2 linked regions of the Oryzias latipes genome follow. Each later gene encodes a partner of the first gene's protein in a complex. Links are inferred from orthologs where the notes say so. Each region holds a gene or a part of one and is shown on either strand. Other genes may lie near its edges.

Evidence for each region.
Region 2: the proteins of fzd4 (region 1) and ndp are in contact, whole or in part, in a crystal structure (PDB 5BQE), measured with the Homo sapiens proteins. The link is inferred for Oryzias latipes from reciprocal best matches to the Homo sapiens genes FZD4 and NDP. Residues at the interface, in NP_036325.2 of Homo sapiens: Ser51, Met52, Gln54, Asn55, Leu56, Gly57, Gln95, Phe96, Met105, Thr107, Lys109, Ile114, Asn152, His154, Met157, Cys158, Met159, Glu160, Gly161, Pro162; in NP_000257.1 of Homo sapiens: Asp33, Ser34, Pro36, Arg38, Met40, Arg41, His42, His43, Tyr44, Val45, Asp46, Lys58, Met59, Val60, Leu61, Lys102, Lys104, Leu106, Tyr122, Leu124, Ser125.

The regions. Positions count from the first base shown.
Region 1 is NC_019871.2:21,519,112-21,525,617, forward strand, and holds part of fzd4 (frizzled-4), read left to right. Parts: intron 1-1,385; coding exon 1,386-1,523; intron 1,524-1,759; coding exon 1,760-2,143; intron 2,144-2,830; coding exon 2,831-2,976; intron 2,977-4,239; coding exon 4,240-4,487; intron 4,488-4,598; coding exon 4,599-5,017; 3' UTR 5,018-6,506. UniProt on the Homo sapiens protein: Receptor for Wnt proteins.
Region 2 is NC_019879.2:12,495,436-12,503,024, reverse strand, and holds the start of ndp (norrin), read left to right. Parts: upstream 1-2,649; 5' UTR 2,650-2,780; intron 2,781-7,589. UniProt on the Homo sapiens protein: Activates the canonical Wnt signaling pathway through FZD4 and LRP5 coreceptor.

The sequences.
Region 1 (6,506 bases):
GACATTCCGAGTTCATGCCCCACACAGCAACAGCTGATTCTTTAGGACTGTCTTCCTGCTTACAAAGCTGCCCTCAGTCTTCTCAGACAAATGTTGCTTGTTTGACTTAAGCAAAGAAAAAGAAAAGCATCCATTACACCCCCCACACCAGAAATTTTATTTTAGACTATATTTGGACTCACTGGTGACATGACAAAAATTCAATTTCCGCACACATGCATCATGTGAAGATTCAGAAACCGGGTTTGGATTATTAGTGTGCAGCTGTTTGGAAAATATCTTGGCAGAAAAACTATATGAGGCAGGCATAAATGGGGGTGGGGGCTTTACCATGAAATTCCCCAGTTGCAAACTGACCAGCAAGATTGCCTGACACACAATCTGCTTTGCTCTGAGAGTCAGGAGAGCCAGGAACTGTCCCAGCATCAGCTCTAATGGGAGGCTTCCTGAATGGAACCCAGAGCAGCTTTTAGCACTGAAGCGGCAACACTAAGGTTACAAACGGATCGGGGGGGAAACACCTACATGAGTTACATTACCGTCACTGGTTAAGTATGCGTGGCTCACCGTGGGAAGCATTAGAAATTCTACTGCACGAAACCTAATATCTCCCACTTGTATAAACGTTTGCGAGTGTTTGCCGCTGGAGGCTCCTCCTAGTCCACTGACTCAGAGAGCAACTTTATTAATCTGTGGACTTCTCTGGCACCAAAAGTCCAGAGTCCCAAACACACCAGCCCCCCAAATGTTCATCTGTTTACCATACATCTTAAGGAAGAAAACCGCTTCATTCAAGCCCATGTCTTTGAGACTTGATTTCGATAAAATTGTTTTTGCCTCTCTCCTAAAAACAGAGGTTTTTAAAAGTAAAATGTTCATTTTGCTAACATGGTGGAAGTGGTAAACTAAAGTGTAGGCCTACTTTGTTCCCAACATTCACTCCTTCTGCATTTCCTGCTTCATTGGGGCTCTAGTCAGTTTGTCTATCACTGGACAAAGGCTGCAAGACTTTTACCCATTCCCCTTTGCTTCAGAACCAACACACAGAACAGCACGGCCTTTCTTTGGTGGCGTTGCAAGCTTCCATCTCTTAAGAGATTTTTTATTTAAAACTTGAGTAATCGGTGGAATGAAAATTCAGATAAGCCAGATGCTAATGCATGCGGTGCAGTTAACATTTCATATTTATTTTTCTAGAAAGAGTAAAAACACCTGACTTTACTGTCTCTGGATGTTACAGGCTAAAATGTAAATTATCTTTTTGCAAACAAATTATTCTACAATTGTTAAACCTTGCTTTCGCAAAGTAGAGTTTGTTGAATTTTGTATTGCAAAGACAAAAATAAAATAAAATCTGACAACACCCTTTTTCTACTTTTTTCCAGTTTTTTCTCTGCTCAGTTTATGTCCCCATGTGCACGGACAAAGTTCCCATTCCCATCGGACCGTGTGGGAGCATGTGTCTGTCTGTCAAGAGAAAATGCCTCCCGGTTCTCCTTGAGTTTGGATATACATGGCCCGAGGTGAGTTTCGCTCATATCAATATTTACTTACACATAATTTGACCAGACATGAAAAATACCTATAAATAATAACAGCCTTATTAACGATATGTTTTCCTGTAAATTGCTGGATTTTTCAGGTTTTGAGAAAATAGCTGTATAAACAGTTGAATGGCTGAATTTATAAACCAGTCTAAGTCTATAACGCATTTCATTTTTACAGCAAAGACACTCAGGAATTCCTGTTTCTTTCTCAGGCACTAAACTGCAGCCGCTTCCCACCACAAAACGACCACAACCACATGTGTATGGAGGGTCCAGGTGACGAGGACCCGCCCTACCAATCGGTCCACCATCCTTCTGACCAAGACTGTCAAGCCCTGGATTCTACCCCCGATCAGTACACTTGGCTCAAGCAGACTGAAAGCTGCGTACTCCAGTGTGGCTACGACAATGGCCTCTACCGGCGAGGAGCCAAAGTCTTCACAGATGCATGGATGGCGGTGTGGGCTGTACTGTGTTTCCTGTCGACTACTTTGACAGTCCTGACTTTTCTGTTGGACTCACAGCGATTCTCGTATCCTGAGAGGCCCATCATCTTTCTGTCTATGTGCTGCAACCTATATAGTGTTGCCTATCTGGTAAGTTCAGGGTTTTTCTTAAGGAATCAGTTCTTAGGATTAGATAGACATAAAAAAAGAGTGAATAAAACTAGGTGTATTTTAAGAAGCCACTCCAATTATCTTTTGATCTATTTTCAAAGCATTCCAAGTGTTCTTTTAATTAAGATTATGCCAATTATGCAGATATTATCCAGAATACCTGTGTCATTTTCTAGGACATATATTCTTCAGAGCGACAGGAGTTCATTAGCAATTCACAACAATTTGAATTAAGAAATCCATCCAATTTGAATTAAGAAATCCATCCAATGCCATAAGAACATGTTAAAAACACCAAAAACACTATTTTCCTCTGAGTGGGTCATTAAAAATAAACCAGATAAGGGATTTTGTTTGATCTCCATTCACAAAAGTTTACAATAATTCATAAAAGGTCAATGGATCCAATTTTTAAGGTTATTAGTTTTCACCATAGTTTAGTTTTACTTTCTAAATATGTAAAACATTTAATCAAAACCAAGCATAACTTGCTTAAAATATATATATATATATAAGTAAATCAATGTTTAACAAACTGTATCATTATAATAACAGAATCTAGTCCATGTGATTTGAAATGACTCAAAAATGTGTAATTGGATGCTCGATGCTAAAAAAAAACCTTTTCCCTTTCCTGTTATTAACTCAACTACTTGGACTTTTTAGGTACGCCTTACTCTCGGGAGGGAGCGCGTTTCTTGTGACTTGGATGCCGTTGGAGTGCCAGTTCTAGTACAGGAAGGTTTAAAGAGCACCGGCTGCGCCATCGTCTTCCTCCTGCTTTATTTCTTCGGCATGGCCTCCTCCCTTTGGTTAGTTTAAGCACATGAAACCTTTTGTCACAGTTTTCCATTGTCAAAGCAGTGCTGTTAAGGTCTCATGGTGGAACATAAGACCTTCATCCTGTCCCATAACCTCTGTATTAGTGGATTTGTTTTCCCATTCAAAGCTTTGTCTCCTTTGGAGTGAAGGCTGCACTAAAGTTGCAGTGGAAACCTGCTGCTGTCACAGCACTTTTGTCTGTTTCCCTGCGCCTCCGTTTTCCTGTTTATCTTCCTGGTTTGAAGAAAATCACAACTACCCAAAAATATTACACTTCTCCATAAATGGACACAAAACTCCTGCAGTCCTGCAGTCGTGATAACCTGAGAACTACCAGCAACTTTAGTCATCCACCTTTATGACTATGACCAGTCAACACAAAGGGCAAAGCTTTGAGATGCCCCAGCAATCATCATGCTACCATCCATTTTCAGAATATTGTGAATCCTTTTTGGGTTTAGGGGGTTATTGGAGTCATCTCAGCTACTGTTGGTCGAGGTGGGGTACACCCTGAACAGGTTGCCAGTCTGTGGCAGGGCCACACATGCATATCTAGGGACAATTGTGAGTCACCATGAACACAGTAAAAGTGTTTTTGGACTCCAGAGAGCCCAGAGAAAACACACATGCACAGGGAGAACATGCAAACTCCACACAGAAAGGTCCAAGGTGGGATTCAAGTTGGCTGTCTCACTATCTCTTCAGTTTTTATTTTGTTTGTGAATTAGATGCATGTCGTTTATCTAAAATCTCTACATTCAGAAATAATGTGGTGCACAGGTAGATCGGCCAACCTCTTGTTGAAAGATCACAGGTTTGGTTCCCGCCTTGGCGACCCACGTGTCAAAGTGGCAAGACACTGAACCCCATATTATTCCTGGTGGGGAACTGCCATTGTTTGTAACACACAAAAGTAAATAAAAACTTCATGGCCAAAAAACCAAAATCTTCAAAGGTTTCCGGAATCATTTCAGATAAATGTGATAAATGAAGAGGCCAGCAAAAAAATACCAGGACCGTCCCACCCTCTCCATGCACAAACCACCACCACAAGAATTTCAGGTGAACAGGTGTACTAAATCAAGTTCTTCCCATGAACATGTGACATTACCGAACAATTGCAGCTACAAGGAAGAGAAACCGGCCCTAAAATCTCAAGCATCACTGACAAAATCATTTACTGTTCTTTATTCAGAGCAACCATCTTCTTGTGGTCATTTCTGATAAAAGATCTTTCTTTCACCCTCTTCCAGGTGGGTTATCCTGACCCTGACCTGGTTTTTGGCAGCTGGGCTAAAGTGGGGCCACGAGGCCATTGAAATGCACAGCTCCTACTTCCATATTGCTGCGTGGGCCATCCCAGCTGCCAAAACCATTGTAATACTCATCATGAGGCTGGTGGATGCAGACGACTTGACAGGGCTGTGCTATGTCGGCAACCAGCAGCAGGAGGCCCTCACAGGTTTCGTGGTGGCTCCACTTGCCACCTACCTCCTCGTTGGTAAGTCCAGCCCAATGGATACAATTTAATTGTATTCCCATCATCTAAGTTATGCGACTCATTTTTGAGTCCTCTGTGTCTTCATTGCAGTTGTTGTCTTCATTCCCACAGGAACTTTGTTCATTTGTGCGGGCCTCATGGCGCTTTTCAAGATTCGCTCCAATCTACAGAAGGACGGCACCAAAACAGACAAGCTGGAGCGCTTGATGGTGAAGATCGGCGTCTTTTCCATACTGTACACCGTCCCAGCATCCACCGTAATCGGCTGTTACCTCTACCAGCTCTCCCACTGGGGAGAGTTCAAGACCAGCACCCACGATTCATACGTGACATCGGAGATGCTCCGTATCTTCATGTCACTCCTGGTGGGGATCACGTCGGGAATGTGGATCTGGTCGGCAAAGACTCTCCACACATGGCAGCGCTGCTCTTCCCGGCTGCTCAGAGAAGGCCATGTTGGGCGAGGTGGTAAGAGCGCACCGGGAGAGGGCTGGATCAAACCTGGCAAAGGAAATGAGACAGTCGTGTGAGAAGGTAGCCCATGAGAGAATGGACAGCAAACAGGATCTGCTGAACTCTCTTCCTGTTAAAAAACTGTTCAATGAAGGATCGAAAGTATAAGGAGATTGGTGTTGGGTAAAAATGTGACCCATAGTGGGACGTTTCCAATGGTGCCACTGGATTAAATGGCATCACACGAGCCCTCGGACTTTCACTCCCTGTGCCTCTAATAGAGGTTGTGAAGGAGAAGCTTAGACGAACAAGTCATGCTTCAGCAGCAGCAGCCTCTCTACCTCGGTTCGACCGCTGTCTTCCAGAGAGGCGAAGAAAAGGAAAAAGAGACAGAACAGGCACAACAGTGGTATCAATATGCAAACAAGATCCACCAATAAGCTGTACTGCACCATCTCTACCTCTCTGTCTCTTTTTTCTCCAGAGTTTTCCAGCAGAACAAACCGAGCTGCTGAACACTGTAAACCTTTAAGCTGTTGTCTCTTTTTTTTTAAGTTTGTAATTTTTACACTGGAGCAGATATTATGCAGGTTCGGACTGAAATTTCCCAGAATCACCTAACAACTAGACACAGTTTCCAAAAAAAATACAAACGTACCATTTAATCTGAATTATCGCAGTAAAATATTACCTTATGACCTCAAATCTTTTTATTTAACCACTGATCAAATTTTCTTTGAATTCTTAGTACACGTGATTTTAACTGCCTCAATTTGTTTGGGAAACCAGCTCTAAAGCTGGAATAATGCACTAAAAATGTATAATAACTTAAGTGTTGGAGCCGATAGGAATATGCACAGCGTAAATATTGAGAGATGTCATAGATGCGGCAATTTTTTTTGTAAAATTGAAAGCAACACTGCCAGGTGTACACACTATAGTCAGCCTTGAGCAGGACCTGCTGTGCCTGGGAAATGCAGGCATTTGGGTTTTGCTCTTTTAAGAAAACTGTTCCAATGAAGTCTGCGGCTTTTATGAAAATCCTATTCTTTATAAGCTTAAGGAGCAACAGAAAACTCAAATATCCCCCTGCCCCTGATCAAACAGTGAAGCCATGTTTCTGAAAAGGAAAATGTTGGACAATCAGTTGCCAAAATATGCGTAATCGGAATTCTAGAGCATGCAGAAAAATAAAGGAAAGAATGCATTGTCGGCATTAAAAGTGCAGTGTAAGCTAAAATATTTGAGTTATGTTTAAATTGAGGGGTCACACACCAGATGTCCGTTTTTTTTATCCACCAACTCGATCTCCAACCACGGTGTCAACAATTTTAAGGAGAGAAAAAGGATGTCAAGATACCCGTCAAAGGTTTATTTTTCTCTGGGTCACAGCTGCTGTTTGTCGCATGTGCAGTATGTGATTGCATTCATGCACCTTAAGGCCTCCGTTCCCAGACATACCAGGTTCTCCGTGCTTCATGTTGGCGTGTATTTTTAAACTTAACTCGTCTCAAGGATTTTCAACCGAAAAACAGCTCCTGCATGTTTGCCTGACAATCCCTTTGA
Region 2 (7,589 bases), on another chromosome or scaffold:
CTAAGTATGATGGATGGATGGATGGATGGATGGATGGATGGATGGATGGATGGATGGATGGATGGATGGATGGATGGATGGATGGATGGATGGATGGATAGATAGATAGATAGATAGATAGATAGATAGATAGATAGATAGATAGATAGATAGATAGATAGATAGATAGATAGATAGATAGATAGATAGATAGATAGATAGATAGATAGATAGATAGATAGATAGATAGATAGATAGATAGATAGATAGATAGATAGATAGATAGATAGATAGATAGATAGATAGATAGATAGATAGATAGATAGATAGATAGATAGATAGATAGATAGGAGGTGAATCTGGTGATGATGAGCTCCCTGTACTCACTCTCATCCCCTCCCTTTACACACGCCACAATAGCAGTGTCGTCCGAATACTTCTGGAAATGACAAGCTGCAGATTCATAATTAAAGTCAGCAGTGTAGAGTGTGAATAGAAAAGGCGATAGTACATTTCCCTGTGGTGCACCAGTGTTGCTCATCGATGTCCCATATACACAGACTCCTATTTTTAAGTCAAAGTCTTTGTATTTGAATCACAAAGTGAAACATGAAACATAAAAATTTGTATTTTAATTGATGATATAATTCAACTTTAGTTTCCTCCGATCTTTCAGAATGTGTTCCTTTATTATTTATTGTATGTTGTAATAAGAAGCAATCTTCCCGCTCATCACTGCTTTTGCTGTTTCCCAAAGAACACGTGGTGAAATGACAGGAGTGTTGTTAAAGTCTAGGAAGGCTGCCTGCTCTTTTTTAAAGAATTTAATAAACTCTTGGTCCTATAGCAGAGAAGAATTAAACCTCCAAATTCTAACTTTTGATCTATATTAAAAGCGTTCCCTGTGGTCTTTTCATTATTATTCCAGCTCAGATAAGGAAAACAATGTTGTACATGAATCTATTTGTGTGCAAGTATATTCATCAGAATGGAGCATCAAGTGTATTTTCTACGTCACAACTGCAATCTTTTACAAAGGCAATTGTTTTGTCTGGTCCTGATTTGCAATGATTTGATAAAGAAATACAGTTTTAATCTTAATTTTTTATTTCCATACAGAAATGTGAGAAGAGGGCTGCTCGCATTTATCCTTTAGGCAATCAAATGTGATTCTGTGAATTCTGTGTGAATTCAATTAATTCCGGTGGTGCAGTGGTTAGTGCTCTTGCCTCACAGCAGGAGAGCCCACAGCTAAAGTCCAGAAACAAAACATCACTGGGGGACCTTTCTGTGTGGTGTTTGCATGTTCTCCCTTGTAGGTTTTCTCCAGGGACTCCGGCTTCCTCCCACCTACATAGATTAATTGGTAAATCCCTAAATGGGTGTGTAATTGTGGCCCTGCTACAGTCTGGTGCTGTCAGGATTTTCCCTGCCTCTGCCCACAATAGGCCGGGATAGGCTCCAGCAGCCCTGTGACCCCAAAGGGGACAAAATGGCTTAGAAGATGAAAAGAAAATTGTAATTCCATCCATCAATTTAAACAAGAACTGGTATGATGTGGCTTAGATCAGTTTTCCTTTTGTGAGATAGTTTTGAAAAATTGGAATTTATGAAAAAGAACTAAAAGACATGAGTTACTGTCATTTGTTTATGAGCTCAGGTCATCACTGGCACCTCATGCCTCTTTGAAAACTATTGAACCAGAGCCTCAGTTCATGACTTCAACCCCAAAACTGCGGGTTGAAGTCACTGAAGTAACTTACACCGATCTGGCAACTGGTGTGAGCCCCGTGACAGCATCAACTTTCAAAGTTTTATTAGTTTTTTATTGATAGCAGTTTGTCCCTCTTTTGGTGTCCATCTGTTGATCCATGCAGGAATGATGGATGAGGCTTCTGTAGAGTATAAAATATTGTATAACTTCTGACTGTGGTTAACATGACTACCCTCAAAAAAAGGCATCCTGTACCACAAACATGCACCCTGCAGGGTGTAAAAACTGATCACAGATGAGAACATATGTCTGAGGGAGGAGAGCTATATATGTCTCACATTGATGACCTGTATTTCATCTTCTGCATTGTTTGGCAAAGTAACCTGACTTTTGTCCGAGATTTAAAACTTTTGAACCTTTTTTGTTGAGTGAAGCCCACTGTGATGGGGCAATGCAGCTCTACCAGCAAAACTAACAACAGTCAACATCAAGAAGGAAGTTCCATGGTGACTTATAACACCTCCCATTTGACTCCTGTCCTCCTAAACTGACCCCTATTTCCTTTTTTGTAGAGGGACAGAATGACGAGGAAGGCTACAAGCACCAGTTGTTTTTTCATAAACTAAATCTGTTAACACTTTTATAACCCTGACCTCATAAAACCTACTGCAGCTCTTGGTCAGCCATCCCCCTGATGGGACGCTCTGGGCTTCCAGGCCTGGAATTCCCATTTGCCTCCGTGGAGCGTGTCGGTGTGTCAGCTGCCTTGTTTGCGAGGGAGAAGGGGAGAGAAAAGGAGCATGATAAACGACTGCTCTGTCACTCTCCACATGTGAAGACCATCCTCACGAGCAGCGCATCCGGGCTGCTCCCTTGTTCTGGTGATTTCCCTGTTGAGGAAGGAGAAGTGAGGCTGTGTGTGTGTGTGGGGGGGGGGGGGGGGGGGGGGGGGGAGGAGGTGAAAGTGAGACAGAGGGAGGAGAGAGCCATGCTCAGACGACCAGAGTGTGTGAGAGGGGTAGAAACAGGAGGACCTGACTGGGAAACAATAGAAGGACAAATCCACTCTGCTGTTTCTCCGCTGAAGGTAGGACCACCACTCTGGGTGTTTTACACCTGGATCAGCACACCTGCACCTTCAGTACATCTAACATGTTTTCACTTCTGCATTTCAAGCACCATGGGAGAATTTGAGTCCATGGAGTTGTTGTTTTCCAGAACTCAGGTGAAAACTCTCTTCAGCCGCAGTCCAAGAACTGCAAGTGTTTGCAATTAGGATACAGTGGGACTTTGTATGTAATGAGAGGAAACGTGTTTGTGTTGGCGCCGGTGGCTTTGCTAAGTAGGCATTGACAGAAAGCGTTTTCAGTGGGGAGTGTGTATGGATGAAAATGTGTTTCACAGCTCTGTTATGTCCTTGAATGAATGACTGACTTAGCCTGTGGTGTTGGGACCTGAGACCACTGACTTATAGTGAAAGGAGAATGATGACAGATATAATACAACTCTGTGGTAGGTTGAAGGAGGAGACGACTACGACTTCCTTTAAGATGAAAAACAGAGGTGTGTGTGTGGGGGGGGGGGGGTAGAAAAGGAGAAAGTGTTCAGATGAAAAATTAACTGACTATGAAGGTTCGGTTAATAATTATTGACCCAGAGGAATTAGTAAGTGAAAGGAAGAAACTTCAGATCGAAGGAGAACGGCTGAGTCAGAAAAAGACATAATAAAGAGGAGAAACGGAATGAAACTGAGATGTGTGAGAGAGGTGGAAAGAGCAGTGGTGGAGAAAAAAGGAGTGAGTTCAAGTGATGCAAACATCCCTGCAGACATCTCATTGTACGTCTGGCAACACCAGAGGAGAAACACTTTCTGGAGTCATGAAACCACCGTGGAACTGTTTGGAGAAGAGCAATGAGACCAAAGCAGGAAGAAGGTGTGTTTGAAACATGGCTGCCAGGTGCAGATGGACAGCAATGCTCTGGCACAGCCAAGCTTCATTTTCATGAGCTCTCGTGTTTCGCATTCACACACACCAGAGTCCTGCATTTGTTTAGACAATTCTGAAGCTCTCATAGGAAGTTCACAGTGTCGCTGTAGGAATGCACTTCTGACAAATGGATGCTCTGCACGAACTGCAAGCTATCGACAAGCTCCTTAAAGATCCACTCCCATGAAAATTGGGTTTTTAGTGTTTTTAACATGTTCCTGTGGCATTTTTCTCATATTGGAGGACATATAGAGAGAAAAATTAATCCTAAAACTTAATTTCTAAGTTTTTATTCATTCAAAGCTGTGAATAAGGAGCAGACAAAAAAATGCTGTTTGAAAAAGCTTGTAGTTGTGATGTACAAAGTACACTGGGCGGGGCACAAGCTCCCTTTTCCGCTCCATTCCGAAGCATCCTTAACGACAAATAGTACAAAGACAAACGTATACATGTTTGTTTTCTTCATCTGAACTGGAATCTGGCTCAAAACGTTACAACTAGTTAGTTCCGATATTGATCACCAGTTTTATTGCTCAAGTCATGTTAAGTTGAGGGTGTGAAGCTTGTGGGAAATGATGCAAACAGATGGATGATGGGAAATGGGGATGGTCTTAATGTGCACTAATTGTCTTGCCTAAAACTCAGAGGTAAATTCCTAAAGAAACAACTGCAGCTCTGCAGAAACTATGTCCTTTTTTTTATTTTGGCTGAAGATAGTTAAAATACAATTAGATATGCTTTTACAATTGATCCAAAGATGATCAGAGTGGGTCTTTAATACAACCCTGACCAGCAACTGTGTGACACATTTGCTGCCCAAAGGAGCCGGATCCCAAATGATAGAACTGCAGCTCCTCCTCTTGTTCACCTCGGGCTATAAACTTAATGAGAATTGATCCTGTTTCACACACTGTTTTTGCCCCCCAGCTCCGAAATTCCCTGGAATTTTTCTTTTTTTTCAGTCAGGAGAGTAGGTGTCTGTGAGGTGTTTGTGACCCAGAAAGATTAGGAGGATCTTATTTTTATTCTGTTGCAAGAAAAATGCCTGTGATGTTTTCAGAAGCTTTCTTCGTAAAGCTCAACTCTGGCTCACATGGCTGCCTGTCCGCGGCTTTCAAATCCGCACTGTTTGTCTTATCTTTACCGAAGGGGATATATTTAGTGAGGAGCTTAGCTTTTAGGAGGTTGGCACGTGGAGAGAATAGGAGAGTACAAAAGAGGAAGTTTGTGCGTGTTTGTGTGTGCGTTTCAGGCGTTGGCGTCAGTAGACAGTGGAGGAGCTTGGCACTCTGCATGCCAAACTGTGTTTGTGCATATTCTGTCAGTGTGTGTTTGTGTGTGCACGGCTAGAGGACAGGTCTGCGCCCTCCCCTCCCCTCCCCTCACCGCAGTCCGGAATCTGCCCTTTAGTTTATTAAAAGCTGGGGAAACAATGGAGGGGATGAGTCTGGGGATGAGGGCAGGTGGGGAGGTAAAACTATGACATAATCTCTGGGCACAACTTCTCTCAGCATTCAGGCAGACTCAATCCTCTGTGCTGACAGAGCAGAAGTTCCCTCTGAACATCTGGACCAGCAGCTTTCTGACAGCAGTTCTAGCTTCAGAAAAGGTCTCTCTGCCCATATGAGTGGTAACAACGCATAAGTTAGGTGGGCGGAAGATATGTATAGTTGGATCCCACTGGGGAGAACCAAACACTTTGATGGCTGAGATTTTGCACTCTACACAACAAATGGCTGCCACAGTGGGGGGCTCAACAGATTAGATTTAAACATGTTTTTCTGCACTTGAATAAAAGTTTCCCAGAGAAGATCATCTTGACACCCACTAAGTGTGCTCTTACAGTGAATGTTCTACCATGTTCGCCATTTTTCTGGTTCTTTATCAAACATACTCAATGAAGATAACTTTATTGGAATTCCCGAAATGTTTTGCAATTACACTGTTTCCATTAAATCAAAAATATGCGAATAAACACAAACCAAATCACGCGATAAGTTGTTCAAAAACATGGTGACGCATATGATTTACAGCAGATAGACTCAAATTTCTGCCACCGCACTAGCGCTCATCATTATCTATCAAAGCAGACGTCGGCGTCTTATTCAAGCCATGGAGTGACAAGCTCTTTACACTTGGGAGGGGCTACAGATGAAGTAATTTTTGAGAAATGGTGGTTGGTGATTTTACAGAAGAGCTGTGGATCCAACAGCATGACACGCTCAACTTTTGATGAGCTGTGTGATGCTGTGGGACCTCTTGTGGAAGCCAATGTGTAGTGCCAGGCAGCCAGTTCCTACCAAGAAGCGCATTGCCATCTGACTCATTTAATTAGAAAACAATGTTTCTATTCCATTCTATTCCATATCGATACGCATCAAAAACCACCTCCTCCAAACGCAAAATTGTCGTGTTTCCATTAGGCACATTTTTTATCGTAAGTCCAATTAATGCAATTTTATAGTTAATGAAAAACACAGCTCATGTTAAATTTATTACTTAATCATGATCTGAGAAATCTTCAGGATGAGAAAAATAGTCTTATTCACCAAAACAATGGGTACGAGAAAAGCCACAGGAGTACAGATTCTCTGTTTCTTGTCTGTTAGCAGACAGACAGTCAAAACAACATGATCTACAGCCATGTATTATGAGGCAAATGATTAATAACATGTTCAGGGATCTTGGATCAAGGCTTCCTAAAAGTGGACACTGGTATGAATGCACTGAGCTTTAGAGTCTGCTTCATGTGAATCCACTGATTAGCAGCAGAGAACTGAAAACATGAGCGACCAAAAGAGTCTTTTGGAATGACTAGGGCAGAGGTCTGCAACCTGAGGCTACAGAGCCTCTATGACCCCTCCTTTGTGCCTCTCTGCTTGAAGAAAAATAAAATGTTTCTAATTTTAAAAAGTAGCATATTTTTCAAACTACAAGGCAAATCAAGCAAAACAGAACAGTCAGATAAGTCAAACTTTATTCAATTCATTCGCAAACAGTGAACGAGTCCTCGAGACTTCTGACTCCAATAGCCGTGATGCTTCAAGCAGTTAAGTTGACCAAAGTCAAACTAAAACGGTTTGACAGATATTTGAGGGCTAGATACCATAGTAAATCAACCAGAATTCATATATTCTGTATACTGGCTTATATATCAGATTTTCTTTTTTGAAAAAAATAAGGATTGTAAGTGTACCATGTGGTCCAAAAATATATTTTAATCAGCTCATATTTAGTTAGTGGGTTTACTAGTTTATGGCTTAAATGCACCAACAACGGTATAACAAAGTGTACTTAGTTTTTCTTTTATAACTACCGGTACTAATATAACCCTACCAAGTACTACATTTGCTGCATTGAGATGATCCTATGTGACACAGGATGTCTTTTATTTTGAAAGGTAGTCATGTTAACCACAGTCAAAAGTTATAAAATATTTGATATTTAGAAAAAAATGATAGTTTTAATTTCTGTTTTATGTTTGCACAAATAACCTATTTATATTGATCATAAGAGTAACAGTAATTTCAGTCAGACAACTCTTGCAGAAGAACATTTATTTCACAACATCTTTAGGATGACATTCACAATTTGATTCACAACTTCGTTTTGGCATAAGGCTCCGTTCAATTCCTTGAGACAATTATTTTTCCATACACTTTCGGGTAACAACCCCCAACACCAAGATCATCCAGAAGAAGAAGAAAATGTAAATGTATAATGTATAATCAGTGTGTAAATAAGATGAGGTGTGTTTTCGGCAGCATTCCATTTTCACTTCATTTCATTTCATTTCATTTCATTTTCCAGTATGACTGCTATGTGTTTACCCGGCACCATTGACCGTTTGGCCGCTCCCTTCGAGAACCACTCTACGAAGGGAACATGCTATCTAGTGTATCTGCTAT